Linked DNA regions of Schizosaccharomyces pombe. The protein of the gene in region 1 interacts with the protein of each later gene in a biochemical or structural test. Each region holds a gene or a part of one and is shown on either strand. Other genes may lie near its edges.

Region 1 (9,965 bases):
TTTTCTTTTAAGAAAATGAAAGACATCTTGCGGCGTCAACTTAAAACTTGATTGTTTGAAGAAATTTTTGCCGGACAGCATTGAAGAATTCTAGTATTTTTAACATGCAAAATTATATTTGAGCCTTTCTATCAGGGTATTGCTAATAATTGATCAAAACCACTGCGATAGTATTTACTTACCCAAAGTAACAATTATTCATCAACCAAGTCACACTTGGTTTATAGTAGCAAGCTATACTGCACGAACAAAACTTTTATAATTGAGAGCGAATTTGTGGAATAGTCAGGCTTGATTTTAATAAATCCCTATTATTATCCTTGATCTCATAAAATTTAAGTTTCTTGGGTTGTGCATTCTTTATAGCACCAATGCCAACTCAGGCTGGTTTTTGTAAATTTGCTGAATTTTCGAACATTTATTAATACAATGGCAATTATTGTGGAAGACGGTTCTTTTATTACATCTTCTCAATGGGAAAATGTAGAGGCATCTCCAAAACCTCCTCCAAGGAAGCCAAAGATTGTTCAACCAAAAAAGAAGCCATCGAAGCACTTGAGCAATGAGGATGCTTTAGAAAAATATGAAATGCTGTTTGGTGAAAGGAGAAAAGAAGTGGAACTAGATTATATGAGCCACATTGCGGAAGAAGAGACTTCGTTGAGCATGATTGAGTATGATCGTCATTTTGCACTTCAAACTGACGTGAAATTGTCAAAGAAAAGAAAATCCAAACTTGTTGAAATGACTCCTAAAGGTTTGAAAAAAAGGAAACGCGTGCAAATACAGGAAGGAAGTGTGTCAACCAATACAAAAAAGCGTATGGACGGTCATGTTGTTGGTTCTAGCGCTCCCGCTATAAATAATGGCAAAGGAAAACAACTTTTAGAAATGATGGGTTGGTCTCGGGGGAAGGGACTTGGTTCTGAAAACCAAGGAATGGTTGATCCGGTTGTGGCTGTTGTAAAAAATAATAAACAGGGTCTTCATTAGTTTTTGACGAGGAGATTTTAAATCCTCATAGTGTATATTTACAAAACATTATTTATTTAGAAGGAAAAATTACTTTTCACCATCATTTTGGGAAAGTTTCTTTTTTATAAAGAATTTTATTTTTGGTTGCTCATCATGATGACTATATAAGAAATAATAATTAAAGGAATTTTACTATATTTTACCGTTGAGGGTACAATCACTTGAAATAATTCAATTTCATAAGTTTTTCATAAAGAGAGCAATAGAAAACTGGTAAGTTGAAAAACAGCTTCTAATTGTTAAAAGGACGGAAATACATATTTGGAAAAGGGGGAAGGAATGAACAATGATGAGTGCATTTACGTTAAAAATGGTTAAGTCGAATAGGTGAAGGACAGACTTATCTTCGAAATGGAAGAAAAAAGGAAAAACAGGATATGAGAAGAGATTCAGTAAGGATTATAAATTTAAGAGAGGAAAAGGCTTCGCATGCGAGTAACATCAAAAGCAAAAAGTGAAAAAAACTGTGTATACCCAGATCGCTGTACTGTAAAGTTTCATTTGGATTCTATTGAATAAAAGCATCAGTTGATCAAACTAAAAAATCGATCAGTTAATATAAACAAAATAAAAAAAAAGAGCATTCTAAACATATTTGAGCGAATGTAATAGAAACGTACTTTTTGGAACTTTGAGTTTCTTACTAGTCATAGCAATTCCACTCAACACAAACAAAACCACAAGCGGGTGAAATGCAAAAGGTGTGTTTCCACACCACTCACCCCAAGGTAGATTTTCATGAGTCTTTCCCTTTAAGATACAAACTCCGCAAACGGTTACTAAGGAGAGGGTGGTAGGAATGGGCGTTCCTTCGAAAAACTGAGACTTGCCAGATCCATCTTTAGGAATGGAATTGACAGAAACATTAAAACGAGCCAATCTAGTTAGACCACACAAAACAAAAAGGGAAAGTATAACGGTATCAAGGAACGTTTGGAATCCACAACAAAAGGCAAAGACGGCTGGAGATACGCCAAATGAAATCTATTTTGTTAGTATAATGATATAAAAAGACCGGATAAGAGAGAGAAAAAATATATATAATCAAGAATTATACGCAATCGCATGTTTATTGAGAAAAATTCAGACTCATTGAACAAACCGACATAATGTAAAAAACGAGAAGCAAAAAAAAAAAGCTCGACTTAGCTAAAATGAAGAAAAAATTCAACCAAAGAAGCCTCTTATCATGTTCCTCGTGTTTTTATCATGTCAAAGCAACCAATGTGAAAATAGTCTCGGAACAGATTTGAGAAGTTATACATACCAGATCAGCAAGACTATCCAATTCCTGACCCATTAAGGAAGATTTCCCACGCCAACGAGCCACTTTACCATCCAAAAAGTCAAAAAACAACGCAAATGGCATAAAGTACATTGCATTCCATAAATGGAAAGCTGATTGCTGTCCGCTTAGGCAGTAACGTAAACTTGAAAATATACTCATGACACCGCAAAACCCGTTCATTAAAGTAATCAAGTCTGCAAGGTGGAGGGCTCTACAATCCTCTAGTTAGTATTTCAAGTAATGAATCCTTTTGCAAAGTCCTTTCGCAATGGTGTAAACAAGAATACGTAAATCATACCTAATGAGTGAAAAATGTCTATTATCATTTACGTAGGCCAGTAACTTGTTCTCTTTATCATTGCTTTGGTTTGATGCATCGGATTGTAATTTCAATCCAGGAGAAACTCGTGATCTAACCATCTTCCAAAATTGGCAGTTTCTGGTTCTAATTGTACCTGTTTATTTACCGGAAGTCGAATAACTAACAAAAATAAGGCACCGCAGGGTATCGTTATGGTTGTGATTGAGAATTGTCTAGAAATGCTTAGCGATCCAGGCTTTGGAATTCTTATCAATCTTTTAATGTTTATTTATTAGCATCGTTAAAACAGCATTGTGCGTTCTGTTATTTGAATAAAAGTCGAAAAAGCTAATCAATGAATATAAAACGAGCGAAGTGTTTAAACTATTTTCCAAGCTAAATATGGTGGTTTGTGGTTTTGAATTACATGAAGAAAATAAGAAGAGGGAACGTACCACCGCTGATAGGGGATGCGGCAATTTGTTGTATGATCCAGATATGTGTGCATAAGGCAGTAGAAGGCATCGAAGCAAGATGATTAAAAACCGAGTAATGAATGACCTTTGACAGTGTATATAGTACGTCTCATTTAAAATTCCAAGTTGGACCCAACTCAAAAAGAAACAAATATCACGATCACATTAAGGGCCATTTTTCATCTAACTTTCTATTGTTATTCGACTGGCAAAAAATTGGGCTGTTGTGGGAATCGAACCCACGACCACCATCACCCTAAGATGGTATCATACCACTAGACCAAACGGCCACTATTGTTAAGTAAAAAATTTTATTATATAGAAAGTAAACATGAACTAGCTTATGTTTTTTTTGGAGCTTTTAGCATTGAACAGTACTTTGGTATGCACTATTTATGTAAATACTAGCAAGACCTTGAATTAAAACAGAATGTATTTCCTTTAAATTTTCTATTATTCATAGCTTGATAGTTAAGAACATTCATAACTAACTAAATATGGATTCCTATAATTTTATGTTCTACTATTTAATCTGGTAACAAAGCATCGAATGCGCACTTTTGAGTATTGTTTTAAACTTTTCAAACATCAACTTAAACACTCTGTTTTTTTTTGTACAATTTCTCTTAATAAGATAAAGTTAGATAACATCTTCTGTTCAGTTAAACTTTGAATCGTTTACAAGTACATGCTCATCGTTAACAGAAACCCGAAGAGTTTGGTAAGAGGATATTGTAAAAAAGATATTGTACTTCGTAATTTAGATGGTTGGCTATTTGATATGATCACAATTTCAACCATTTTTAAACTCTACAATCAAATTTGTTCACTTTCCTCCACTGACCGAAAAAAAACCTCAATATCTAATAAACTGCAGCAGGAATTTTGCATTATGGATATAAACAAAGTTGGCAGAAATTTTATTTCTTTAGGAAAAATACGATCAAGTAAGAGGAGAAACGCTATTTTGTCATACCAAACGATCATTAGTTCATTCCCTCATAATCATGTACAAAAACTTTTTCAAAGAACTCAATCAACAAATATGATTTATACCAAGTTAGAATATTTCGGTCATTCTTTGTTCTTTTATTTTACGGCATTTACGCTCTCGTTCAAGGATAGAAAAATCTTAATGCAAGCCGATGTATTTTTTAGACTAAAGCTCGTATTCAAGATAGCATTCTTTTTCACTCAAACAACTTTTTTAAATAAAAAAGAAAATAGGGAATTGTAGGTTTATGGATCATCAAACAAAGGAATACAGTAAACGGACTGCAGCAAAACTAAAGGTTTTTTAGAAAAAAAAAAGATGCATATTTTGTTCACTGAAAAAAAGTAATTTTAAAAGCGTTTTTGCTTAATTAGAAGGAGGTGAATAATCTTGTTTGTGCGCTTCCTTAATGTTTTCCGGGGATGACTCGTGATGAAGTTCTTTAAGCGCTTTTTGAATATCGGAAGAAATTGTTTCCAGCTGTTTTGACCGCATGTCGTACGAATAGATTACTTTGTTGTTTGAGATAATGGAAAATGTTGGAGTTTGATCGTTCGGTAAACGGTGATTAACGTTAAACTTCAAGCCGTAATTGTTGTAATACAATGAAGGAAGACATTCTTTTACAAATTTTCTAGAATTTAAAACGTTAGCAATGAACAACGCATGAAACGGAATCGTAGATCAGTGCTTCCTCACACAAAGTATTATCAAGCAGTTATTTGAGAGAATTAAACATGAATTGAGCATAAAATGTTTGAGGTACCAGTACATAGACAACATCGATGATTCTAACACGAATAAACAAAACTTACTTAGCACCCATATGTCCCAAACGGCTGTCTAAAGAATATTGAATAGATACTTCCTGAATATGTTTTGGTAAAGGAATCCCTAAAGCTCCAGCACGAATCTTGTGCAAAGATTTTTGTAATTTACCGCCTATGCTAGACATGGCGAAAATGTAAAGTTGTAGTAATAATCAGCCAAACAAAAATGAAAGAGTTTGAAACAATATGTTTTTATTCAAATATTCTGTCGGGATGAACAGAGAATATAAATATTAATGAATTAAGCCTAATGCCGTAGATTCGTACTCTCTTGTCAATTGTTGCTTGCTCTCTTTAAAAGCGAGTTCCTTGATCTCGCATTTAACGTAGTTTAGTGTGTCCTTATGCTAAATAAGGGATCACCTAACAGTGCGGAATGGGAGAAATGAGTATGAAATTCTGCAACAAGCATAGACCAAACGACACATTCTCATTATGGATTCAGAAACGCATATTACGATACGAAATATAAGTAAAAACTCGGTGGATTTTGTCCTTACAAATACAAGTTTGGCGTAAGTGAAAAGCTCTAGGAAATTCCTTCTAATAGTTGAAAGAGTTGCAAACTCGCTGCGACGTGTTGTACTTGCAGAGATTCCAACAGTGGGTAAGATTTAGGTTCATTCTTGAATTAAATACTAATGATGTTTTAGCCATTGACCTAGTTGAAATTAATGTGAATACCTCAGTCATGCCTGATGAGTTTCTAGCACATCGTCTTGGTATGATACCTCTGGATAGCTCCAACATCGATGAACCGCCTCCAGTAGGTTTGGAATATACGCGCAATTGCGATTGCGATCAGTATTGTCCCAAGTGTTCAGTCGAGTTGTTCCTAAATGCCAAATGTACTGGTGAGGGTACGATGGAAATTTATGCTAGAGATCTTGTTGTTTCTTCTAACTCTTCTCTTGGACACCCTATTCTCGCCGATCCAAAATCACGCGGACCGCTTATTTGCAAACTCAGAAAAGAGCAGGAAATTTCTCTGCGTTGCATTGCCAAGAAGGGTATAGCTAAAGAACATGCTAAGTGGTCACCTACTTCAGCTGTTGCATTTGAATACGATCCATGGAACAAGTTACAGCATACTGATTACTGGTTTGAGAATGATGCAGATGCAGAGTGGCCAAAAAGCAAAAATGCCGATTGGGAAGAACCACCGCGGGAAGGCGAACCATTCAACTTCCAAGAGGAACCGCGTCGGTTTTATATGGATGTCGAAAGTGTCGGTTCTATACCACCCAATGAAATAATGGTTCAAGGTTTACGAATTCTTCAGGAAAAGCTTGCAGTTTTAGTTCGTGATCTCGACGAAGAGCAGCCTACTCAACTTTCTGCTAACGAACTGAATATGGAGGAGAATGCAGAAATGAACTGGTCTCCCTATCAAAATGGTGAAGAAAACACGTGGTAGACTATGCTTCAATTCTTTTCTAAAAATTATCCATTTTCATCCTTTATATGTTTGTTGTTATAAAAAATACTCTAGATGCGTTTTTTTAATCATCTAAAAGTTTTTAATTTATGGCCTGCGTCCGTTCATGTCATACCTTACACATTTTTATCTAATCCTTTTTTTTTTGGCTTTTGGCTACAACATATTGTACGTATTGATATGCATATATAGAGATATATATTCCTCCCTCATATCATAATTTTGTTCTTCTTCACTTGGATTTATTATAGCTTTAGATAATTTCGTGAAAGAGAACACTTTCGGAATTGTCGTTTTGATATCTTTTTAATTTTCGGTGATTGCCTCTTGAACTCTTTGTTGGAAAGTTTATATCGGCTCACCATGCTCACAATGAATAGACAAAGTTGCTACAAGTGGACAACGAGATTACAGAATACAATTTTTTATAACGATGTTTTATTCGTTTACCAAAAATAAAGACAACAAAAAAGTTTTTAAAAACCTCAACACTTTAAAATAACATGTACAACGAGAACCGAAAGCGTCTCCTTTACTTTTATGCTGAAGAGTTTTCTTCTTCAGCGTATAATTTTTCGGTTTCCTCAATTGCAGTAACATTTGAACGTAGTTTGTTTAAAGTTTCCACGTACTCATCTTGTTCATCTGAATCAAACACAATACCACCACCGGCTTGCAAATAAACAGTTCCGTCTTTATAAACCATTGTACGGATTGCTATACAAGTATCCATGTTGTCATCTTCATAGCCCCAACGACCTACGGCTCCCGCGTATATACCACGCTTTTCTTTCTCTAATCCATAAACGAGCTGAATTGCACGGACTTTGGGAGACCCACTGACCGTTCCAGCCGGAAATATACTACGGAATGCATCAAAACGAGTTTTATCAGGTCTCAGAACACCAGAAACTTGAGAAACAAGATGCTGAACATGAGAAAACTTTTCAATAGTCATCAACTTGTCAACACTTGTTGTGTCGAGATCACAGACACGACTGACATCGTTTCTTGCCAAGTCCACCAGCATTACATGTTCAGCTCTATCCTTGACACTAGCAAGTAAATCCTTGGCATATGCCTCATCCTCTTCTTTAGTTTTTCCTCTTGGAACAGTTCCGGCAATGGGATGATTGATAATACGCCCATGCTCTGATTTAACCAGTAATTCAGGGGAAGCACCGATTATGTCGAAATCATCACAGTGGATGTAGAACATATAAGGGGACGGGTTAACTGTTCTTAAATGGCGGTACAAATTAAAAGGATGTAAATCTGTACGCCTAGCAATCCGTTGGCTTGGGACAGCTTGGAAAATATCGCCATTAAAGATATGTTCCTTGAGGTTGGAAACAAATGCTTTATACCCGTCTTCGCCTACATTTGACTTAGCTTCGTATCCTAAATGGACCTTCTTTTGCTCAGGCAAAGGAATTTCAGGACTTTCAAGTTTCTTTTTAAGCATATTGATTTTGAAAACGGCAGCTTCGTAAGCCTCTTCAATGGGTCGGCCTTGCTGAATGCAAACATGAGAAATTATCTTGACAGTCTGATAAGCATGATCGAAAGCGACTAAATCGTCGGTCATGAAAAACATAGCCTCCGGAAGACCCAAGGTATCTTCTAAAGGCATTTCAGTAGTGGGTTCAAAATATTTGATGCAATCATAAGAAACATAGCCCACAGCACCTCCACTGAAAGATGGCAGACCCTCAACAGGGGCTGTTTTAACTTCTTTCAACTCACGTTCTAAACGTGCCAAAGGATCTGTTTTTCCATTGGCCATTAATATTCTATAAGGGCTGCCAATAAAACTGTATCTTGAGACACTCTCTCCTTGAGTGACACTTTCTAAAATAAACGAATACTTCTTTCCTTGATTAAGCTTCAAGTAGGCTACTGAAGGAGTCAGCATATCGGCAGGGATTACTCCATAAATGGGAATCTTGTTAGCCTTGTGCTTTTCAGCAAGCTCTTGAACTTGTTTCAAGTCAGGATAAATCTAAAATAGTATTAGTATCATGTATTAATTTTAAGCTTCATAGCCCTAGAAACGGCGACTTTTACAGTTAAAAGCAATACAACAAAGGAAAGACCCAATCCTAAACTCGTCAATATATCCCAATACTACTATTTATTTTCCATAGGTTGGGTCTCCTTGTTAGAACAAAAAAAATCAAATTACCTTCATCTTATTGACAAGTCTATACTCGAATAAGTGCAAATTCAATAGCAAACCAAAAAAATCCCTTAAACTTGAACCGATCTATTTCCAGAAAGACAAGCAATTCCAAATTTTTCTGTAAGCGAAGAAAGAAAACAAAAGAACCAATTAATTCAACAACGTAAAGCTGCTGGAAGAAGACAACTTGTGAAAGTTGGAAAATTCATCTAAATTAGATGAAAAATATAACGGATGCGTTGGAAAACGTTATATGGTTAAATGTAAATAAAAGACTGGAAATAGGAATTAGGAAGTTATATTTAACTGCGGACAAACCGATAAAAGTATTTTGTTTTAGGATAAGATTTATTTTTTTCCTAAGCTCTTAGGCAAATTCTTAAAATGGCCAAAGTTTCGTCGAACATAAACTGCAATCTAGTTAAGATCTTGATTTCTTTTTTTTTTATTTTATTTATCTAGTCTCCTTGGTTTGATTTAAAAATGTTAAAAATAAAAGGCATTCGTTTAGATGAAAAGGGTGTGTATGTTAGCTAGAAAGTTGCAGACCTGAATAGAGGAGAAGACACTGTGTAAAAGTCCTCTACAAAATCTATGAAATTTCGTGAATCATGCGCTTATAATATTCAGAAATTGAAAAGAGGAACAACGATTATAACGAAAGAGAACTAAGAGGATTTAGGCGTTGGAATTGGTATAAGAGAATACATGACTCGCTATTAGGGCAATTCAGAATAATGTTATATTTATGCTAACAAATTTATAAATTTAATAGAGTCGACTACCCTTAGGATTTGAAGTGCGTCTTATACCGAAACGATCGAAGTGAATTAAAGTGATTGCTTGTTTAAGTGCAATTGAACAGTCAAGGCTAGTCATCTATAAATCTGAACAGTTCAACTTAATAAGCAAAAAGTAATGTTATTCGATCAAGGATTTTTCGTCTTGTGAATGATCTTGCAAGTTAATAAAAACGGAGATGAAACTCTCGAACGTATAAAAACAATCAATCGCTGGTTAAATTCAATCTTTTAGCAAAAAAGGATTTTAATTGTATAATGTATTCAATCGGGAAAAGCAAAAGAGGGTCTTTCACGCGGCACTATTTTTTTGCCTGAAAATAAATAAGTAAATAGAACAGTATCCTAAAAACAGTTTATTCAAATCCTTTTTAAACGAGTATAGGAATCTTGTTTGTTATATATTGGATCTCTGTCAGTTCAAATTCATGTTATTAAGTAGAATAAATACCTCTTTCACTTCACTCAATAAACGCAGATGCAAAAAGAAAATAGGAAAAATAGTATAGGATAAAGGTAAGATCGCACTGTTATTAAACAGTTATTTTACTTCTACAGTGTTGATTCCTCATGATTTCAAGTTAAGATATTGTCGTACAAAATCCCGATTCGGGGAATTGA
Region 2 (6,811 bases), on another chromosome or scaffold:
GTCCAGATTTAAAGGTTCTAATTTCGAGTGCTACTATAGATGCCGAAAAATTTTCGGCTTACTTTGATGAAGCTCCAGTGTTCTATGTTCCTGGCAGAAGATATCCAGTCGATATTTATTACACCCCGCAACCTGAAGCAAATTATATACAAGCGGCTATTACAACCATTCTTCAAATACATACTACCCAGCCTGCTGGTGATATTTTAGTTTTTTTAACGGGCCAAGATGAAATTGAATTAATGTCCGAAAACATGCAAGAACTTTGTCGGATACTAGGAAAAAGAATTCCGGAAATAATTTTATGTCCGATTTATGCCAATCTGCCTTCTGAATTGCAAGCTAAAATTTTTGATCCTACACCCCCTGGTGCCCGCAAAGTTGTATTAGCAACCAATATTGCTGAAACTTCTATAACAATTGACGGAGTGAATTTTGTGATTGATTCTGGATTTGTCAAACAAAACATGTATAATCCAAGGACTGGTATGGAAAGCTTAGTATCTGTGCCTTGCTCCCGTGCTTCTGCTGATCAGCGTGCCGGCCGTGCTGGTCGAGTAGGACCTGGAAAGTGCTTCCGTTTATATACGCGTCGGACATATAACAATGAACTGGATATGGTAACATCTCCTGAAATTCAAAGAACAAATTTGACAAATATTGTTCTCTTGCTTAAATCCCTAGGAATTAATAATCTTTTAGATTTCGACTTCATGGATGCTCCACCACCTGAAACGTTGATGCGTTCATTAGAGTTATTGTATGCGCTTGGTGCCTTAAACAATAGAGGAGAATTGACTAAGCTCGGCAGGCAGATGGCAGAGTTTCCTACAGATCCTATGCTTTCTAAATCTTTGATTGCATCTTCAAAGTATGGATGTGTTGAAGAAGTGTTATCAATTGTTTCTATGTTAGGGGAGGCTTCCTCTTTATTCTATAGACCAAAAGACAAAATAATGGAAGCGGATAAAGCTAGAGCGAACTTTACCCAACCTGGTGGTGATCATTTAACTCTTCTTCATATTTGGAATGAATGGGTAGATACTGACTTTTCGTACAATTGGGCCCGTGAAAACTTTTTACAGTATAAGAGTTTATGTCGAGCTCGAGATGTTCGTGATCAACTTGCCAATCTCTGTGAACGGGTGGAAATTGAATTGGTAACTAATTCTTCAGAGTCCCTTGATCCTATTAAGAAAGCTATCACAGCTGGTTATTTTTCTAATGCTGCACGCTTGGATCGTAGTGGGGATTCTTATCGCACTGTTAAAAGTAATCAAACCGTTTATATTCACCCTAGTTCTTCTGTAGCTGAGAAAAAGCCAAAAGTCATCATTTACTTTGAATTGGTTTTGACAACTAAGGAGTATTGCAGACAAATTACTGAAATACAACCCGAGTGGCTCTTGGAAATAAGCCCCCATTATTTCAAGCCAGAAAATATAGAAGAATTGCAAAAGACGCAAAAACGACATAAGCGGTAAAAGAGTGGAAAAGGAAAATTAGTTTTAAAGGCGATTTGGTTGTATATAATCATAATGAATTTATGTTTCACAATAATGGACAAACTTTTAAAAGATCTCATTTAGTTAGCTTCAAAAAGACGTACAGTTTTGTTTAAGTCATCATGTTGTATATTAATTACTTTTAATACTAAAAAACATTTTATCGTTTTTGAAAAGGCCCGAAATGCTCATGACTTTTCAAGCTTAACAAATCCAAGCAAAAAATCTAATGCAGGTAGGTCTTTTGTAACCCTCACTAAACGATTACCGAGTGTTGCATGCTCGGTTACATTCAATGCTTAGTACAAAAAGATTACGGGTCCTGGAGCTATATTCTGGTATTGGAGGTATGCACTATGCATTGAACCTGGCAAATATACCGGCTGATATTGTGTGTGCAATAGATATCAACCCACAGGCAAATGAAATTTATAACCTCAATCATGGAAAACTTGCTAAACACGTATGTTTCAAGGATTTACTCGATAACTATATTAATACTTATAGATGGATATTTCAACTTTAACGGCCAAGGATTTTGATGCATTTGACTGTAAATTATGGACTATGAGTCCCAGTTGTCAACCTTTTACTAGAATAGGAAACCGTAAAGATATTCTTGATCCTCGTTCCCAAGCATTTCTAAATATTTTAAATGTGCTTCCTCATGTAAATAATTTGCCTGAGTACATTCTAATTGAGAATGTTCAGGGTTTTGAGGAGAGCAAGGCAGCTGAAGAGTGCAGGAAAGTTTTGAGGAATTGTGGTTACAACCTAATTGAAGGTATTTTGAGTCCAAACCAGTTCAACATTCCTAATTCTCGCAGTAGATGGTATGGATTGGCTAGGCTCAATTTCAAAGGAGAATGGAGTATTGATGATGTTTTTCAATTTAGCGAGGTAGCGCAAAAAGAAGGCGAAGTAAAAAGAATAAGAGATTATTTGGAGATAGAAAGAGATTGGTCTTCATATATGGTACTAGAGTCTGTGTTAAATAAATGGGGCCATCAGTTTGATATAGTTAAGCCAGATAGCTCTTCCTGCTGTTGCTTTACACGGGGATATACACATTTAGTACAAGGTGCAGGCTCAATTTTGCAGATGTCAGATCATGAAAATACGCACGAGCAATTTGAGAGGAACCGGATGGCTTTACAACTTCGGTATTTTACCGCCAGAGAAGTCGCCAGGTTAATGGGATTCCCGGAAAGCCTCGAATGGTCAAAGTCTAATGTAACCGAAAAATGTATGTATCGCTTATTAGGAAATAGTATAAACGTTAAAGTTGTTTCATACTTGATTTCTCTATTACTGGAACCTCTAAATTTCTAAAAGCGGTTAGAAGTCAAAACTATTTTTTTAAAATGAAAGGAAAATTAATATTACTCGATAAAAGTTCTGCAAAAAAAGGCACTTATTTCAATTGGAATTACCCTTTAATGCATACAGTGTTTCTGAATGCTTTATATAACTAATTACCAGGACTAATTTCAAGACAAAGAAATCGTATATTTATACACTAAAAATTGGAGAACTCGGGGAATACATTATTTTTGAGCTATTGTATTTATCCTCACACGTACACATAATTGTTATGAAATATAAATTAAACAATCTAGTTATTTATCGATTTAAATTTAAAATTATGTATCCAGCCCTTTATTCTTTTGCTAGATTTAATAAAGGTTAAATTTAAAAGAACGTCAAAATTAGATACGAAATTATATTTGAAGTTTATATATCCAATAAATGGAAATGTACTTGAAGTACTTTAAATGAGAACTTTTAACTCATTAATGTATTATAAGATTAGCTTCCCAATTTTTTTTGAAGCGTTAATATTGAGAATAGTATGGTAGTAAAAATTTGCGCGCTACTACTCACCACCACAATTAGAAAGTTCAAGTGAGGAAGTAAAATCACAGGATTTAACTAGACTCAAATACACTAAAAAAGTTTACAAAATGAATCATCCAACCTCCACTGGCGGTACCGCTTTCAATCCCCCCAGACCAGCCACTATGATTTATTTATGTGCGGGTATGATCATTGAGTAGAATTAAATGAGTATATGATAAAAGACTGACCATCAGATTGCGGAGCGCGTAATACAATCCAAGCGAAAGAAGTTATTCGTTGTCGAGAGTGTGGGCATCGTGTTATGTACAAAATGAGAACCAAGAGAATGGTTCAGTTCGAAGCACGCTAAGTTTTAGAGTTTTCAGACTATGAAAAGAGAAAAACGGAATTATAACTTTTAAAATTTGAGAAATGGCTTAAAAATGGTGTAATATGCAGGTCCTTATGCTTAATTCGAGAAATTAGAAGGTCCTGGGGTTAAATGGATAACCCATGACAATAATAACATTTTGGATATTTGATGCATTAAAAACTGTGAATTGTACATGATGAGTATATCTAAAATTTTTTTTAGTAAATTATAAGTCATTTGGCGACGGTTTGAAAGTGCCATGTGTACTTTAACCATGCCTATAAAAAATCGTCCACTTGAAAATCTTAAAGTCAAGAAAACCGATTTTATGGACAGATACGGTGGATACATACATACATATATTTTCATACACAAGTTTTGCAAAATATTAGTATTGAATGCTTTAGCTACAAAACAACAGGTTATAATTTGAAGCTTTCAACAGTTTATAAAGGGTGACATCAGTCGGAATCATTAGGAGAAATATCAAGAATTTTTTATTAAGGTACAAAAACGTATACGATTAACTAGCATATATGCGCTAATCAAGCGCAAGAGGAGATTCCATTTCGTAAAACAAAAGACAAGCTGAACGAGTTTGACTGAGAGCTTCATTGAGAGATGATTTAGTAATTAAAGAATCATTAGCCTTCCACCAAATGTCATCTTGAAGTCTATAGCAAAGATAATGACCATAAGTAACACTTCCGGAATGGGTGATTAAGGATCGTAAAATATAATGATGTTTGTTTTTTAGGATAAGTTTGCTAGGAAATGAGATAGAAACATTATTTCTGGTTAAACCTTGGCAGGTATATGATGTTCTCTCAAGTTGAATTTGCAAAATCGTAGGAGGATTTTTCCAATCAACGGTACGAATGCATGAAGTTTTGGAATGTTTTGGGGAGGATTTGAAGCAAGAGTCACATTTATAGTCAGAGATGTGCTGTTCGCGATCGGCTTCCATTAAAGAGAGCAAGGAAACGTTAGAATTTCCACTGTACTCCGGAGGTAGACAAAGCTGTATCGATGTGGCAGTAGAATAACTAATACTAATGGCAAGGCATTGACAACATTGTACCTTTTGCTCCATAGTTCCTATGAATGGCGAATCTACAGGAAAGGAGAGTACCTTCGACCATTTGTAAGTGTGAGGTTTTTGAAGTTCCAAAGTTTCCACTAGATGTTGTAGAAACTCTTGTGCATCTTGTTGAATGGAACGAACAAGTTTTTTATTAGTGGCAATCTCTAATGAATTGAGGAAGGAACCGGGAGTGATTGGATTACCGGGGCCACTATTTAATTTTTGCAGAAGTTCATAAAGGGTAGCGTATAAGGTAGAGGAAGAACAACGGAGTTTTAGGATTTCCAATAATGATTCTTGACTTGCTAGGGATTGCAAAACACAATTGAGGAAACAATCGTTACCCGAAACATTGTAAAGGCCTTTGATGGAGGCGTTTTTCACCAACCTCTTGCCAGTGGAAGGAGAGGTAACGATGTAAAGGGCAGCAAACGTAGTTAAAATGGCGGCACCCTTGAAAACTGTTTTGTATTTTTTTGCCCTAGAAATGGACAATGGCGTTGTAGACATGATAATGAATGCATGCAATGAAGAATTAGGGAAAAGAAATTATTAGAGGTAACAGAGAATATAATTTACAAAAGAAAAAAAAAATTTATGCATAAAAACAAATTTTTTTTGGCAAGGGAAATAAGAATAGAAGACGAGCGTTAAGTCACAGCATATATCCACTAGGTTGTTGTTACTAGCTTTATTGGTATAAACGATAACACGAGTCCAATGGCGGTGAGGTAAAGGACACGATAATAACGTACAATATAGGTATAGTTAGGGAGACGAGGTAATAAGAACCAAACTTTTTGAGCATAAAACAACCTTTTTAGGAAATAATCAGTGATAGGATGAGTAAAAGTTTGAAAGTTTTACAAAGGCAAATTTAAAAAAAAAAACAGTTGTCAAAAAAAGTGTCAGCAATTAGAATGTTGTCGAGTAATGCGACAAAAGACACAAATATTACTTTTTGGGAGGAGGGAGTCAATAAATAAATAGATAAAGTTGAAAGTGGTAGAATGATTTTACCTTTGCAATTTTAGCGATCGCAATAGATGAAATAGGCGATAAGATATGAAAGGATAAAAAAGAAAAAGAAATTAAAAAACGTTAGGAAGTAATTGTAGAGAAATGAAATAGCACAATTTAAAAAAAAAAAAATAAGAAAAGAGAAAAAAAAAGTATAGCGATCCTATCAAAGAGAATAAATTACGATGGAATCAAGAACAAGAAAAAAGGCAAGAGGCGTCTATAAGAAACAGACAAAAGTTTTTTCGAAGAAGAAAAAAAAAGGGATCCAAAAAAGATGGGAGATTTTTTTCACTTGATTATGTGTGAAGGATTTTTTGTAAGGTAAGATTAGACGATGGGGAGGCAGTGCCGATTTGTCGGTATGGATTGTTTTTTGATGGAGAAATTAAGATAAAAGTAAAGGTATTAAAGTTTTTGCAGAGAAAGCTCACTCATTCACAAGTACGACACAAAGCAAATAATTTGCAATCAGATATGTGTATAAAAGAGCAACCTTTAGAGAAAAAAAGCAGGTTGGAAGAGAGGGACAGGAGGGCCAAACCCTCAGCATAAATATGCGCCTGATGAGACGAAAAAAAGGTTTTTTGCATTGGCAGCGACGTTTGTATTTGCCGGCAAGCCCAAGGGGTTGCAATGATGCGTAAAAGCGACGATTGGTGGAAGAAGGAAAAGAATGAAGTTTTATTTGTGCAGCCCTCCGCATACCAGTTAGGGAGATGCAACATGATTTGTTAGGGAGAAGAGAGGGAGGACAAGGAGGACGAGTAGGAAAGAAGGTGAAGTGGAGGAAGAATAGGGAGGAAGAAGGAGAAAGAAGGAAGAGTAAGGAGAGGGAAAGAGAAGGAAGGAGAAGGGAGAAGGAACAAAAGGAAGACGTTGAAGGTATGACAAGAGAACAAGCGGTACATTCTTTTTGTAATGTCAATAACTTTTGAATTTTACTTTTGAATGATTAACCATAATAAATTCATTTGCCAATGCAAAAAA
Region 3 (7,252 bases), on another chromosome or scaffold:
GCTCCTTGATTTTTTGACTTTACTTTTCATCAATTCCTCTCTTACACTACGTCTTTTAGTCTTAAATTCCAAACCATCTGTTGACGTTTTAAAGTTCCACAAATATCTTTAATAATTCCTGGCTTTCTTTTTTGTCTATGGATGGCCGGATTGCTACACTAATACACTTTGAGGTTTAGCTATTGTTTTGAGCTATTCCATTTTGCCTAGAAGTTGAGTTTTAATGCCTTCTTTTTAAATAGACATATTGTGTAAACCTCATACATGCTTTACTGAAAAGACATAATTAGAGGACAAAATTTAAATCGTGCTGTTTGTTTATATTCAGCTCGTTCCGGTCAAGTTCTTGCCAAAGAATTGAGTCAGTCGTGCTATTCATTTCTAAATTTCTTCTTCCCAGAATTTTATTTTATTGTTTTCGTTCCCCATTGGTTCTTACATTCCGTTTTTATTCAAAACTGAAAAGTTTGTACCTCCATTGCTAGAAGTAATATACACAAGGAGCATGTTTCTTTTTTTACACTATCATTTGCGTGGCTCTAAACCAGTCTTTATTGCCTACCTTTGCAATAAAAGATATAATATCAATTGCATAAGAAATAATTCATTAATAAATGATAAATTTCATCGATTAAATAGATCGCTATTTTTCACACTGTATTATGGGCAAGTAGCGTAAAAAATATTAGCTCTGTTGGAGTTGACCGCTGGATCATCAAGTTTTACATACTATTTAATTTCGGCTGTAGCAAAGAAAAATATCCATCGATTTGCCATATTATCATATCTATTGCTTTCTGTGGTATTTTAACCACCGGTATTTCACTTCTACAAATGTAAACAAAGCACGTTGATTTGTTTACATTACAGTTGCCCCAGTAACACATTATGGATCAGCACCACAAAGAAAAATCATTCAAAATTGATGCTCAAATTCAATATTCTACAGGCTCAAGAAGGGATCTATACTTATTTTTACTAAACCCATAACTATCATCTCTGTTTCGTCTGCGGTAAAAAAAAAATTGTTTAGATTAATGTAAAAACAGAGCAAAATGAGATTTGTCACTTAGTACAACAATGTGTTACCTCTACACGCAACTCCTGAGTTGCGTCGCATGTTATTTGATGAGCTGACTTTGCGCACAAAACCAATACATAACAAAGAGATCTTAGGATTTGGAAGTTGCGCTACACCAAATACTTTTCATATTCGGTAAAGGGAAAGATTTTAAAAAAAGCTTCAGAATGGGATCAAGGTATGTACTAAATCTGATCAATCAATGTCTAACTAATCATTAGATTCGGTAGAAGAAAAGAACGCAATGGCGATATGTTGCCCTTGTATGAGTCTCAATCTCCTCAGCATTTAGACTCCTTGGAAAATGAAAATGATGAACGGATTTCAAAGTTAACTGGAAAAGTCAAGTCTTTGAAAGAGGTAAGATTTTTGCCATCATCAGGAAAAACATGCTAACTAATTTTAATAGCTTACTATGAATATTGGGACTGAGATAACGTCTTCTACTAAGTTGATGGAGTCAATGAACGACTCATTTGACTCGACCAAGTCACTTTTGAGCGGGACAATGACTCGATTAAAGAATGTTTCGAAGAATGGAGGAATTTCAATTTGGATGTGGCTCGCCTTCTTTTGCCTCGTTGCGCTTATCCTCGTTTTGGTAAGATTTTAGGCATTTTGCTTACTACCTTTACTCTTTTTTAGAGTTAGCATTTTTATGATTCATTTTATGGCGTGTATAATCTGTTAAAATTGTATACTTGAAGTTTCTTCATTCTCTTTTCTTCTAACATTTTCATTCTGATTATTTTAAACTTATTATCGATAGAAAAAAAACATTCATCCACCTTTGGTGTTTCCACACAAGTGGTTTGTCACGATAGGAACGCAAATCCTCAATTTTTGTTTTCCTAACGACTTTGTTTTTAACTTATTACATCCTGTTATTATAAGTTTCTATCTGTTATTCATGATACTAGCCCTTCACTCGTCGTCTTACCATTTTTGTAAATTGACGCAACTATTACATTTGAGTTTTATTCAAGTTTATCGGCATGCAGGTCATGTCTTTTGCATTTTCTATTCCCAAGCTTGAAGTATGGAATGTTTAAGTATGTGATACGAATCTTACTACTTAAATTTATTTGCTTATTACATTATTTCTGCGTCTAGTGTTCTTTTACTTCAATACTTGAAATAAAATTTTTTTTTTTTCTTTAAGAGTACAATCATGCTTCTATTCCTTTTCCTTTGTATTTTAAATGCATGTTATTTCGAGTTTCGACATATTGGGTAGGTTGCTGTTTAATAGTGTATTATGGGCACAATAATATTTACGTAAACCATCAGCGCTGTACACCTACCTATAGAAAGTTGTTTTAAGAAGATATTCGCTTTTTATATGTCTAACAGTATTTAATAACTAGTTTTCTTAAGCGGAAGTTTCGAAATTCGATCAGTAACCGTGAGTTTGTGTACAAAATGCTAGTATTGAAGATAGTTTTATTTTTATCTTTGGTGATATGGTTTAATTTAAAAAAGAGGACGGATAAGAAAAGAATTATTGTTCTCGTCCTAGGAGATATTGCAAGAAGCCCTAGAATGCAATATCATGCCGTTAGCTTCGCTAAACTTGGATGGAAGGTTGATTTGTTAGGCTATCAGCGTAAGTTATCTAAAATATTTGAATATTTTAATCTATACCACATTAGGTGTATTTGTTGTCACTAACACTGTCGTAGACCCCGGGTCATCTGTAGGACTTTTCGAAAGTCATGAAAACATTCGTTTTTATCCCATTCCTTCACTTCCTGCGTATCTTCAACCTAAGAACCGCCTTCAGTTTTTGTTTTTGGGACCATTGAAGGTTTTACATCAATTTCTTGCACTGAACTGGGCTCTTTTTGTTCGAAAACCTGCTTCATTCCTGTTCATTCAAAATCCTCCTTGCATCCCTGTTTTCTTCATTGCTCAATGTCTTCATATACTACGTGGTACAAAATTTATCATAGATTGGCATAACTTTGGATATTCAATACTTGCGTTGAAATTAGGGAAGCAGCATACCTTTGTTAAATTACTTAAAATTTATGAGAAATACATGGCCCGAGGAGCATATGCTCATTTGACTGTCTCTAAACGGATGAAAGATGTTTTACAAACTTGGGGAATGAAGTAAGTATAAATTTGCTTTTTGCTCAACTCTAACATTTTCAAGTCCTTGCTATGTATGTTATGATAGACCCCCCAACCACTTTACTCCCATTAAAAATGAACAGAAAAAGCAAATGTCTATCAAAAAAATACCTTGTGAGTACAATCCTTCTTCTACGAAGCTCTTAATTACTTCTACCTCTTGGACACCAGACGAGGATATTTACATTTTATGGGAGGCTCTTAATGAGTACGACAAAACTTTAGATACGCCCAAGCTTTTGGTGCTGATAACTGGAAAAGGCCCGATGAAGGAAGAATTTTCTCAGTACATTAAGAAGCATCCATTACACAAAGTTCGTTTTTGCATGCCTTGGCTCAGTATTGAAGATTATCCGCAGGTTATGGCCTGCGCAGATCTTGGTGTATGCTTGCATACTAGTTCAAGTGGACTTGACTTGCCTATGAAAGTTGTAGATTTGTTTGGCTGTGGTGTCCCTGTTATTGCGCTTTCTTATCCAACGATTTCTGAATTGGTACATGATGGCGAAAACGGGTTGATCGTTAACGATTCAAAAGCTCTATCGAAAAAAATGCAGGTATGAAAAAAGATTTTTTTACAAAAAAAACCTTGAATAGCGATTCCTACATAATTTATTGGCTTTTTCGTACGATAACTAACTGTTTTAGTATTTATTAACTCATGCTAATGAATTAAATTCATTGAAACTGGGTGCTCTCAAGGAATCTGAATATCGTTGGGATGATGAATGGAACAAGGTCATCCCTCCTATAGTTCAAGGTTCAAATTAAGTATTTAGATATTACATTCTCAAACCTGAATTCCTAATTACCTTTTTTTTAATAGAATAATCCAATCGTTGTTACACTATTTGACCGCATTATACATGCTTAACGAATACTTTAATAATTATTAGAACTCACCACCAAAATTTTCTTGCTATCTTCTGCACACTGCTCTGCCGTAACTCCCTCTTTTTGGGAACATCTCTTTTAGAAGATCAATTCTCATTTTTTAACTCAGTTTTTCTATTTTTGTTTCTTATTAATTTTTCATAATGTCTGCGGAAGAAAAAAACATTGTTAGGGTGTTTCGTGCTTGGAAGACAGCTCATCAATTAGTCCATGACAGGGTATGTATTTGATAATCTTTTTTCTTCAAACATATTAGAATTATTAACAACTATTATAACTTAGGGTTACGGCGTTTCTCAAGCTGAATTAGATTTGACGTTGGATCAATTCAAGGCCATGCATTGTGGCATGGGTCGTAATTTAGAGTATGTACATTTATTTAAATCCATCGTGATAATGGATTAAACAATCCGATTGATTATAGAAGCAAATTCTGTTGATATCTGCGTATATGTCCATAGACGCCGGTATTTATAAATCGGTTTACTCTTAATCTGCTTTCTAATTGATGAACATGCTTCTTCTAAACTTCCTTTATCAATTTTTTTTTAAAAACTGTTTTGCTAATGCGTTTAGTCGTACAACTTTGAGTTTTTACGCAAAACCTTCCAATGATTCAAATAAAGGCACAATCTATATCGAATTTGCAAAAGAGCCCTCCGTTGGTATTAAAGAAATGAGAACTTTTGTTCATACTTTAGGTGATCATAATCATAAAACTGGTATTCTAATTTATGCCAATTCCATGACCCCAAGTGCCGCTAAAATCATTGCTACTGTCACCGGCCAGTTTACCATTGAGACTTTCCAAGAAAGCGATTTGATTGTCAACATTACTCATCATGAGCTTGTTCCTAAACATATTCTTCTTTCACCGGATGAGAAAAAAGAACTTTTAGACCGCTACAAGTTACGTGAAACTCAATTACCCCGTATTCAACTAGCTGATCCTGTTGCTCGTTATCTTGGTTTAAAAAGGGGAGAAGTTGTGAAGATTGTCAGAAGAAGTGAAACTAGTGGCCGTTATAATAGCTACAGAATTTGTGCATAATTTTAATTGGTACATGTGGGCTAGAAATATCGCTTCAAAACTACCATCTCTTTCTTTTTCTTAAAAAATTTCAATTTGAACATAATAATTTAAAATTCAAATCGAATAAAGCAATGTCTATAGCTATTACAATGAGCTTAAATTTTTGGATTAGATAGTTTTTAGAACAATACTTTATTAGTGATTTATTCAATAAAACATCAAGGGTTGGCATTCACGTTTACTTTTTATTACCAAAAGTAGATAGTTTATAGTCAGTACTGCTTTGTATCAATATTTCATTAAGTTATCATAGCACAAACGACTGTTTAAACCGAAGACTAAAGCATCTTCTTCTTGCTGGTACTTATTTTAAGCAAGCTAAAAATAAGTTTTATTATAGGTATACTAGAAAATAGGCATACTCGAATCTAATAAAGTGTGAAGGTTGAAAAGTTTGGCGTTCGTTAAAGTTTTAAGGACATTATCAGAAGTTGAAGCAAAGGACAGCCACTCCTTTCAACTATCATCATCAGGAAACTCCCACAAGTAACAATCAACACAATTCGGTGTGTGTGAGCAATCTGGTAATTTTTCGTATGCATCTATAACATCATTCAAAACAGTTTGCATACGATGGTGGGTAATAGAAAGATGCCACCCTTTGTCCTTTACAACATCATATAAACATTCCTGTCCTGTATGACAAGTTGATTCCATCGCATAACCTCCGGCCCAGCATAATGAAGTTGGACCTGTGCATTTGCCCAAATATATTGGATCAGCATTGTGACCAAAATGCCATACTAAACTTTCTTCGTCCGGTAATCCTGGAGGCATTGGAAGATGAAGACGTCGGGCAGCCATTCGATCACCAGGTGCTTCAAAAGTGACTGTTGGAATTCCAAAAGAAAGTCCCATTAAAGCGGCAGTAGCGCCACCTAATGAGTGTCCAGTCAGCCAAATCTGTGCATCAGGGTATAATTCTTTAACACTATAAAAAATATCCAATGATGCAGAATAATACCTTGAGTCATCTTGCACTTCATCCTCAAGGCAAGTTTGACTACAGGTGTATGTATTTTTATAGCAACCACAAACCGTAGACCAAGCCCAGCTGACACGAGCGCAACAACAGGAAAAAAGTAAATTGTCATTAACGCGATCCTTCTGCGAGGTACCGCGTCCGATTCCGAAGATGGACGTACCTTTCATCGCAATAATTATAGTGGAATTGTCATCATTGGAAAAAACATGTCCACGTAGACCATCTTCCTCCCAACCAAATCCTTCAGGTGGAGTTATATTCCAATCAGGTCCTAAATCTAACCAGTCCCCGTCGAAAGGAATTTTTTGGTAAGCATTGTAGCTCATCTTTCCAAGGGAGTAAATCGTTTCTTTATCAGTAATATCAGGAATCACGATTGCTTCCTGTTCCCATAAATCAGCTGGTGAATTCGCTTCAGAATAAATTCCTTTCATAGACTTATATCTATAATCAGTCAACGCATCGCGAGACTGATCCTTCAAGTGAACGGAATATCCTTTCTTCATTTTCAACGGCAATTTTGATTCACTCTCTGCGTAAACACTTTTCTTGGCCACATCTAGTCGATAATATGATATACTGTCCTCATTGAGTCCGTAATGAAATACATGCTGTAATTTGACATTAACCTTATCAGGCACATTTTCCGAAGATTTGATAACACTTTCAAATACTCCTGTACAACTAATCCTAATGATGAAACAAAAAAGGAAGAAAAAGCGCCTCAAGAATAGCAATTGAGACATTGCATGAATAGTTTGCTTTCCTTTTGTTTAAAAGAGCAACCGAAAAACGTTATGCGAATCTAATCCTCAATTCTAATAAATACAATGGGATAATTCAATGATTATGCTTTATCAGCTCATGTACATGCTTAACTCGTTTATGTTGCTCATAAATAGATGTTTTAAGTTACTTAACGCCTTTGGTAAGCAATAATTAATACATTACACTGCAGTAAGTTACGCATCATAGCGTGGTGTTGTATGCTGATAATGTCGCTATTTGATATAATATCTAGGTAATGGACACTGTAATTTGTGAATTTAGGATGAATGTATGG
Region 4 (7,401 bases), on another chromosome or scaffold:
GATAAAAAAGCACAACATTTGCAACAACTAAACGCCTTTCAACTACTGTACTCATTGGTCCTTCTTCAAGTATATGCTGGCGACACTGATTCAATTGATGTTTTGGAAGATATCGATAATTGCTATTCCAAGGTGTTTAATAAAAAATCGAAGCGAGAAAGCACCTCTAATGAGCCAACAGCTATGGAAATCCTTACTGAGGTTATGTTGTCTTTATTATCTCGACCTTCCTTGTTGCTTCGTAAACTTGTTGATATGTTATTTACCTCATTTTCTGAAGACATGAACCGTGAATCTATTCATTTAATTTGCGATGTTTTGAAAGCTAAAGAAAGTGTAAAAGACAGCGAAGGAATGTTCGCTGGAGAAGAGGTGGAGGAAGATGCTTTTGGCGAGACAGAAATGGATGAGGATGATTTCGAGGAGATAGACACAGATGAAATTGAAGAACAAAGTGATTGGGAAATGATCTCTAATCAAGATGCCTCTGACAACGAGGAGTTGGAGCGTAAACTTGACAAGGTATTAGAAGATGCCGATGCAAAGGTCAAAGACGAGGAAAGTTCTGAGGAGGAGCTGATGAATGATGAGCAAATGCTTGCGCTGGATGAAAAGCTAGCTGAGGTATTTCGAGAGCGCAAAAAAGCATCGAATAAGGAGAAGAAAAAGAACGCCCAAGAAACTAAACAACAAATTGTTCAGTTTAAAGTTAAAGTTATCGATCTTATTGATAACTATTATAAGACTCAACCTAATAACGGACTTGGTTTTGAGTTTTTGATCCCACTTTTGGAAATGATTTTAAAGACGAAGCACAAAGTTTTGGAGGAAAAAGGGCAAGCGGTATTTCGTAATCGCCTTAGCAAGTTAAAATGGACAGAAGAGAAACCTTCATCAAAAAATGTACTGGAAGCACTGAAGAAAGTACATGTATTATGCGGAAAAAAGGCATCACTTGGTTCTACAGGCTCGTCAATTTCGCAACTTCTGTTGAAATTACTAGCTGATACCCCTTACCTGAAAGAAGGTGTTGAAGTTTACCTTAAAAGCTTCCTTCTTTGGATACAAGAGCCCTCGAAGAGTCATTATAATGCAAACATTTTTCATGATTTTATTAACTGGGGTGCTCAGCAACGCTTGAAGCATCAACAAACTTCGACGGCTGCTTCTTCTCCACAAAAGACTGGGCATCATGAAAATGAAAAGACAAATCATTGAATGCATACACATTAGGGAATTCAGGGAATAAAAGTCGGGTATAATAATTTTTGGTACACATTTTGTAGACGTTTGGGTACGTAGAAACAATTTCTTTACTAGGCTTGTTGTCCACATATAGTTGTAAATTGTTGCCGCACATGATAAAATGCCTGGGATCATCATTTACATAGGCAGCTAACCAAGTTTCATATAGTGAAGTAGGGCAGTGTGGCATATAAAGTAGAGTGTATTTTAAGCAGCTGGGTGTTGGTGGGTCTGGCAAAACACAAAACCCTTTATTTTCGAGAAATTCGACATCATCTTTGAGAAATGCTGGATCATAAAATGAACAAAATCTTGGTTGCAAATTAAATATTTTCATAATTTCAAAAAAGAGAGACAACTGTAAAGAAGCTGTTAAAGTGTGTATTCTACCAAGCCCAAGGATAATGCATTTGTGGATAGGATCTTTAAATTCTGATAATTGACTTTGGACACTTTTTAAAAATTCAGAGTACTCTAATTTTTCTCTAGAATTATCTAATTTACGCTGTAAAGTATCTTGTGACCATAAATCTGTATCACCTTGAGTAATGGTGTTTGAAACCTTAGGAAATTTTCCTCTTCCATTTTTTTTTTTACGAGACCGTTTAACAACAATAAAGTCCATGTTTAAATTATCAATAAAGAAATAAATACCTGAGTAAAAACTTAAAGTGCAGGAAGGCCCAACACTTTTACAATCCCGGTTCCAATTGCAGCGAAAAATTTTAGAAGGATATAATGAACATGGAAATGAATACACACAAAAAAAATAAAAAGGAAATTTGAGGAAAAAAGCAGGACTCAATAATTTCTCTTATTTTCAAAAAAAAAAATATTATCTCAAATTACTAAATCCCTTGATCCAAAAAGATGATAGTTGGTTTTGTTTACGTGAAATAGAGTTATTTTCATGCGTCTCGAAATATCAAACTACATATTCTTTAGATAATCAATATTTAATAAATTAAAAAGGTAACTTACTCAAAAAAAAAAGAACCGGTCTCTACAAACGAAATTGTAAATGCGAACAAAGAATTGGGCAGAGTAACTTGAAATTGTTAATTAAAGCTCGTATTGCAATAACGTACCGAATATTTAAATAAAGAAGTTTAAAAAAGTAAGCTAAGTTGCATTTAACGAAATCATATGTGATCTAACGAAACTATCCTTTATTGTTGAATGTAGCGATTTCTGCACGGATTATTAGAAATGATCCTCTCGTCTAATTCAATGAGGAGCGAATAAATTGTTATACTATTGCTACGTATTGATATACATCTTCACGACTGACTGTGGTCAACTAGTCATATTCACTCCTTGGATACATAATGTTGTAAAAACTATACTTGTTTCTTCTACCTATAAAGCTAGGCATAATCGTACATATTTCATCTATTAAGATGCTTTATGCAAAATCAAAGACAACAAGAACCTACCTGATAGCAAAGCGTTTTTTAAAAATCCAAGTTTGAAAGTTGCTGCTCTTGGAATTAAACCCAAAATGCGGTTAACTTAGAAATAGGAAAATTAAAATATCAATTACTATTTTTAACATTTAAATTATAGAACCTTTTTTGCTTCCCTTATCTCTAAGACTTTAAATTGTTCACTTTAAAACGAAGAGATTGAATTAAACCACCAAAAAATTAACATGTCATAATACGATGAAGAAAAGCTCTTTTTAAAAGGTGATTCGTTTTCCTTCTCTCCTTTCCTTTCCTTGGAAAAGCATGACAAAGATACCCACGATCATTATTTACCTTCTAAGTAATAGATAAACATGGTCTAATGACAAACGATACAATTTTCTATGAGAGCCCTCAATTGCCATCAATAAACCGCCAAAGCTTACATAAACAGATCTTTGTAATTAGGTTAATAAATAAATTAACAACTGCTTTTACACTTACACTTTCTCATCTTTAGCTTCTTCCACCCGATAGACTTTTCCATACATAATATAATCAGCAGCTTCCTTTAAATCAGGGCTATTCAAATTGCTTGTGATTTGCAAACTAAAGGTTGCATCCTTTTCTAAAGGATAAATTTGCGAATTAATGTCAAGAGTAAGATTCATGTCATTTTGGCCTGAGACAGCCGTAATTCGTGAAACTGGGTAAGGTTAGTAGTTTTCTTTCTCTTGTTTTGTTTTTTTTTTTAATTTCACAAACCTCTTTGATACTTTTGTTTATCAACTGAAGTGACTGTAAAAATCTCATCTAAAAGTACGGATTCCGACATTTTTAAAACTGGCGTTTCCCAAAAAACAATACAGAATTATTTCCCCAAGAAAAAGAGCGTAATAATGAGCAGTAATATTTACAAACAATAAAGCTTGGTACCTATCAAATTTTTAAATTCGTTCGTGAAAGGCTCAAGACACAAAATCGCCGGTCTAAAAAAAATCAACAATCTCTGCCTATATGATATTTCATTAAAATTTGCTATGTAATTTTGTGAATAACACATAAGGATACGCTACGCTATTTCTCATTATTTCATAAACATTAGAAAGAGCGTAAATTGTATTGGAAAGCTAACGTTCTTTACTTGAGCATCCTATTCATTGAATAATTCATCAATAGCTGTTATGCAAAAAGCTTTTTAAACGACAATTGCTATCAAGTTTGAAGAGAGCATAGCGAACATACTATTCAGGCTTATATTTCTACATTGAGCTTTATTTAAGGGATTTATTACAAGTTAAAGAATAATTATAAATTCTCATCACTTAAAAAATTCAGAGGTATACTTTATCTAGGTGGAATTGACGTTTCTGAACACCCTTTGGGATCTCAGGTTTACTGTACACCATAATAAATTGTTTTTAAGACCAAACCAGATATTCTGAATTTACAGTCGAAACTTTTATCTATTTCTCTGATGCAATTTGATGATATTATCACCAAAATTTTAAAAGTCGGTATTATAAGCATACTGTTCATCATTAATATGGCTAAGAACGCTGTTAATAGTCATTTTGGTATTCGAACCCCAAGATCTGTATGTCACGTACGCAATAGGGAAAATATATATTTATACTGGACAACTTTTGACGCTCATAAGTTACCGAATGGAGGAAATGCTGATATGGCACATTTCTCTGCTAACTGTTTACATGCTGGGCACACAGTAAAATTCGTATCAGCAGACAGGCTAGGCAGTACAACTTGGGAATGCAATATTAAATTTGGCATACTAAGCTTTCCCAATTTTGGAAAAGACGATGCAGCACAAAATTGTTTTGCTGAACCAAGTATGAAATCCATATCAGCAGATACTCAACACATTTCCGCTAGGGAATACATATCTGGAACGAGTAAGGGATTCAAAACAGCTACACCTAAACTCCTGAATATATAGTATTGACTTAAATTGTGTGAATTTTTGTTGGATCACTCGCTCACTGTCCCAATTGATACTTGGTGTTTATCATTTGTAGCTGCTTTAAGTCAAAATGAAAAACAGGTTTGCCATAAAGGTACTGTTACAAAACCTATAAAAAATTCAATGTCCCTAGATTATTGGGTTGTATTTAGCAACCAAAAGCTTGGCTAATAAATCACGACAAATATGAGTTTGTAATCCAAGGAACATTTTTGTCAACTTCAATGTGCTCAACATCTTTCGTACACTCTGTGTAGACAGTTTAAATAAAGGAAAGAGCGCCCAGACAATATGCCTTATCAGTATAATAAAATGAATAGAAAGCTGAAACAGTTTTTTTGGAATAGGATTTGTTATTGTGAAATTGAATCAACTTGCAGCAATCAAATTTAATCACTTGGCGCATAGAGGATCTTGATTATATTTTCTGTTCTAATTTAGGCTAATCTGTTATGAGCAAGGAACAATTTTTTTTTTGATCGGATACTCTCTAAAGCAATACATCCGTTTTGTCAGATGGATCGCATTGTCATCACAAGAACCAAAGTGAACAAGCTCTCAAGGCCAGCAGTCATGACTTCTTTTTTTTCAATTTCAAGACCTTTTATAGTGATAGAAAACTACGCCTAGATGGGAACTGATATCAATGTTTACACAATAAATATCTATTATCCCCCATATTCAAACGAATCATTAACTATTCTACAGACTCCGTAATTGGCATTGAATGAATTTATTGAAACGGGAAAAGATATTTTGTTGAAAAATGAGACCAAAATGTGCGAATGCAAAAATAAATGCATGAGAGAATTGATCCATATTACTTGAACCCCGATACTCCAGAAATTCGAAGCAAAAAACATATGAGGATGCACAGGAACCAGTGAAAAAAACTTCGGTAAGTCAATATTAAAGTAATAATTAAGATAATTCATTTAAATAAGTAAAATTGGAACTATAAGGTTTATCACAAAACACAAGTTGGAAAACAAATCAGGCAAGTCCTCTTCTGTCTCGCTTGTAAGACCAGTTATAAAAACATAAAACAAATAAGTTCCATGATATGATTTCTTCTCAAAAATTTTTAAGGATAAGAGAGAGAAGATAATATTGTAACCTTTTTGGAAAAAAATGTAAAGGAAAGTTATAAACATCGTACCATGGCAAATTAATTGTAACGCATTACTACTACATTGTTGCTAAATCCATGAGTAACCCAGTTAACTGATCGATCATAGAAAGATTGAAAACGTAAATTTGTTCATTAAAACTTTAGCTCACAAGAGTAATCAAGCTACTCATAAATCAACTTCAAGGCGGTGCAATTATAAGTTACACAGACGTATTGACCGATCGTTCCTTTCCAACTAAACTTTTAATTTGTTGGTATAACTTCTTGCTGCGATTTAATTTAAGTACCACATCCTTAACCTTTTCGAGGTATCGTTTCTGTGCGCCTGAATCGGAAGGAAGCTTTTCAAGAATGGGGTTTTTAGCACCCAATTTATGTAGTACCAATGCTCTCAATTCTACTCCTCTCAGTCCTAATGATTTAAGGCGTGAAGGCGTTGACTTTACAAGATACTCGTCAAGACCGCCTTCCTTGTCAATGGTCCGCAAAACTCGGGACGTGACATACAAATGAAACTTTTCTTCTAAAACATTTGAATACAACCATTTAGAATGACCGTTTGGTATCCATACACGGCGCGTTTTATGTCCAAACTTGGGGATTTTGTTGTTACCAGCTTCGGTTTTCGACCCACCATATAAATTTTGTTGAAACTTGCTAAAAGGATCATATATCTTTCCTTTTACAGGTAGAGTTGGGTATGCCAACTTTCTAAGCAATTTACTTGCCATTATTAAAAAATTGCGTTGTCAATACCAAAAGTGGTCTTGGTAAACGAGTTATGTTTCTGCAGGAAAACGCTATCCGAATTTTTGTTGACCCATATTAATTTAGCAGGAGAAAAAAAAAAGTTTATATATATTTGTCCAAAAAATATTTAAAATTGTCGGTGTTTACCATTATCTACCTAGTATCTATTTGCATCGTTTGCTTCGACCAAAATGGGATTTTCGAGCTAACCATACGTTCAGAAATTCGTAAATCGATAAAAAAAATAGTTTGTAAATCTTGAAAGTGTAATCTATATTGAGATTGTAATGCAATTTTCATGGGACCATCCAACTCAACAAGTGCACCTTGCCGTAATCTGATTTGAAATTGAATTAAATCAATGTTTTTCTCATAGTTTTTAAATTTAATTCCACTATTCCAAAGAAAGAATTGATATGATATGAACAAGCGCCAATCTCAACTTAAATTTGGCAATGAAGGGATCTCATTAGCGGTTCCTAAGCAATCCTTACAAGAATGCTCCTATATGTCCAATTTAATTACAGATAGAGAATCAACATTTTTATCTTACTTTGTCCCGTCTAAAGATCCAAAAATGCTCCCAGTATATAGATTTATGTTTCAAGAATCTGCCGACTTAAAGCATTGCAATCATAAAATGCAAGCTTGGCGTTTTCCCAATGAGATAGAGGCTTTTAATGATGACGGGGAAGAATACTCAGGACAAAAGCTTCTAAACGTGTTGCGAAAAGAAGATGTCTATGGAATGGTCGTTTGCGTCCGATGGTATGGAGGACAATTGCTGGGTCCTGTTCGCTTTCAGCATATCACCATACAGCCAAACAGTCAATTGATAAATACAAATCAGTACTAGAGGAAGAAAGAAAAAAGCAACTCCTGAGGAC

What was found.
Region 2: the proteins of rpb3 (region 1) and rpc10 form a complex in vitro, tested with the Schizosaccharomyces pombe proteins (2 studies listed by BioGRID).
Region 3: the proteins of rpb3 (region 1) and rpb5 form a complex in vitro, tested with the Schizosaccharomyces pombe proteins (3 studies listed by BioGRID).
Region 4: the proteins of rpb3 (region 1) and rpb8 form a complex in vitro, tested with the Schizosaccharomyces pombe proteins (2 studies listed by BioGRID).

The regions. Positions count from the first base shown.
Region 1 is NC_003421.2:1,782,374-1,792,338, reverse strand, and holds rpb3 (DNA-directed RNA polymerase II complex subunit Rpb3), read left to right. Parts: upstream 1-5,340; 5' UTR 5,341-5,359; coding exon 5,360-5,439; exon of another isoform or gene 5,440-5,481; coding exon 5,482-5,531; exon of another isoform or gene 5,532-5,577; coding exon 5,578-6,341; 3' UTR 6,342-6,900; coding exon of another isoform or gene 6,901-8,364; 3' UTR 8,365-8,547; coding exon of another isoform or gene 8,548-8,553; 3' UTR 8,554-9,442; downstream 9,443-9,965. Other genes in the region: sqs2 (G-patch type RNA-binding protein), read left to right, coding at 430-993; CDP-diacylglycerol-serine O-phosphatidyltransferase Pps1, read right to left, coding at 1,568-1,572, 1,656-2,019, 2,303-2,534, 2,622-2,743; SPOM_SPCC1442.11C (uncharacterized protein), read left to right, coding at 3,789-4,337; mrp49 (mitochondrial 54S ribosomal protein mL61), read right to left, coding at 4,461-4,728, 4,910-5,049; trp3 (anthranilate synthase component I), read right to left, coding at 6,901-8,364, 8,548-8,553. UniProt on the Schizosaccharomyces pombe protein: DNA-dependent RNA polymerase catalyzes the transcription of DNA into RNA using the four ribonucleoside triphosphates as substrates. Component of RNA polymerase II which synthesizes mRNA precursors and many functional non-coding RNAs.
Region 2 is NC_003423.3:1,672,266-1,679,076, forward strand, and holds rpc10 (DNA-directed RNA polymerase subunit Rpc10), read left to right. Parts: upstream 1-3,373; 5' UTR 3,374-3,469; coding exon 3,470-3,545; exon of another isoform or gene 3,546-3,598; coding exon 3,599-3,714; 3' UTR 3,715-3,923; downstream 3,924-6,811. Other genes in the region: ATP-dependent RNA helicase Cdc28, read left to right, coding at 1-1,484; pmt1 (DNA methyltransferase), read left to right, coding at 1,801-1,968, 2,013-2,837; ubiquitin hydrolase Ubp11, read right to left, coding at 4,259-5,311. UniProt on the Schizosaccharomyces pombe protein: DNA-dependent RNA polymerase catalyzes the transcription of DNA into RNA using the four ribonucleoside triphosphates as substrates.
Region 3 is NC_003424.3:1,050,481-1,057,732, forward strand, and holds rpb5 (DNA-directed RNA polymerase subunit Rpb5), read left to right. Parts: upstream 1-4,138; 5' UTR 4,139-4,254; coding exon 4,255-4,329; exon of another isoform or gene 4,330-4,393; coding exon 4,394-4,476; exon of another isoform or gene 4,477-4,567; intron 4,568-4,687; coding exon 4,688-5,162; 3' UTR 5,163-5,426; downstream 5,427-7,252. Other genes in the region: serine/threonine protein kinase (CK1 family) Hhp2, read left to right, coding at 1-9; SNARE protein Bet1, read left to right, coding at 1,249-1,259, 1,303-1,441, 1,491-1,694; mannosyltransferase complex subunit Alg1, read left to right, coding at 2,504-2,687, 2,764-3,196, 3,240-3,774, 3,866-3,988; autophagy-associated lipase Atg15, read right to left, coding at 5,661-6,935. UniProt on the Schizosaccharomyces pombe protein: DNA-dependent RNA polymerase catalyzes the transcription of DNA into RNA using the four ribonucleoside triphosphates as substrates.
Region 4 is NC_003423.3:2,219,857-2,227,257, reverse strand, and holds rpb8 (DNA-directed RNA polymerase subunit Rpb8), read right to left. Parts: upstream 3,613-7,401; 5' UTR 3,487-3,612; coding exon 3,417-3,486; intron 3,358-3,416; coding exon 3,156-3,357; intron 3,108-3,155; coding exon 3,002-3,107; 3' UTR 2,538-3,001; downstream 1-2,537. Other genes in the region: rRNA processing protein Pol5, read left to right, coding at 1-1,218; SRR1 family protein, DNA-repair associated protein, Srr1, conflicting annotations across species, read right to left, coding at 1,115-1,870; SPOM_SPBC14C8.11C (uncharacterized protein), read left to right, coding at 4,129-4,608; mrpl24 (mitochondrial 54S ribosomal protein bL28m), read right to left, coding at 5,965-6,495. UniProt on the Schizosaccharomyces pombe protein: DNA-dependent RNA polymerase catalyzes the transcription of DNA into RNA using the four ribonucleoside triphosphates as substrates.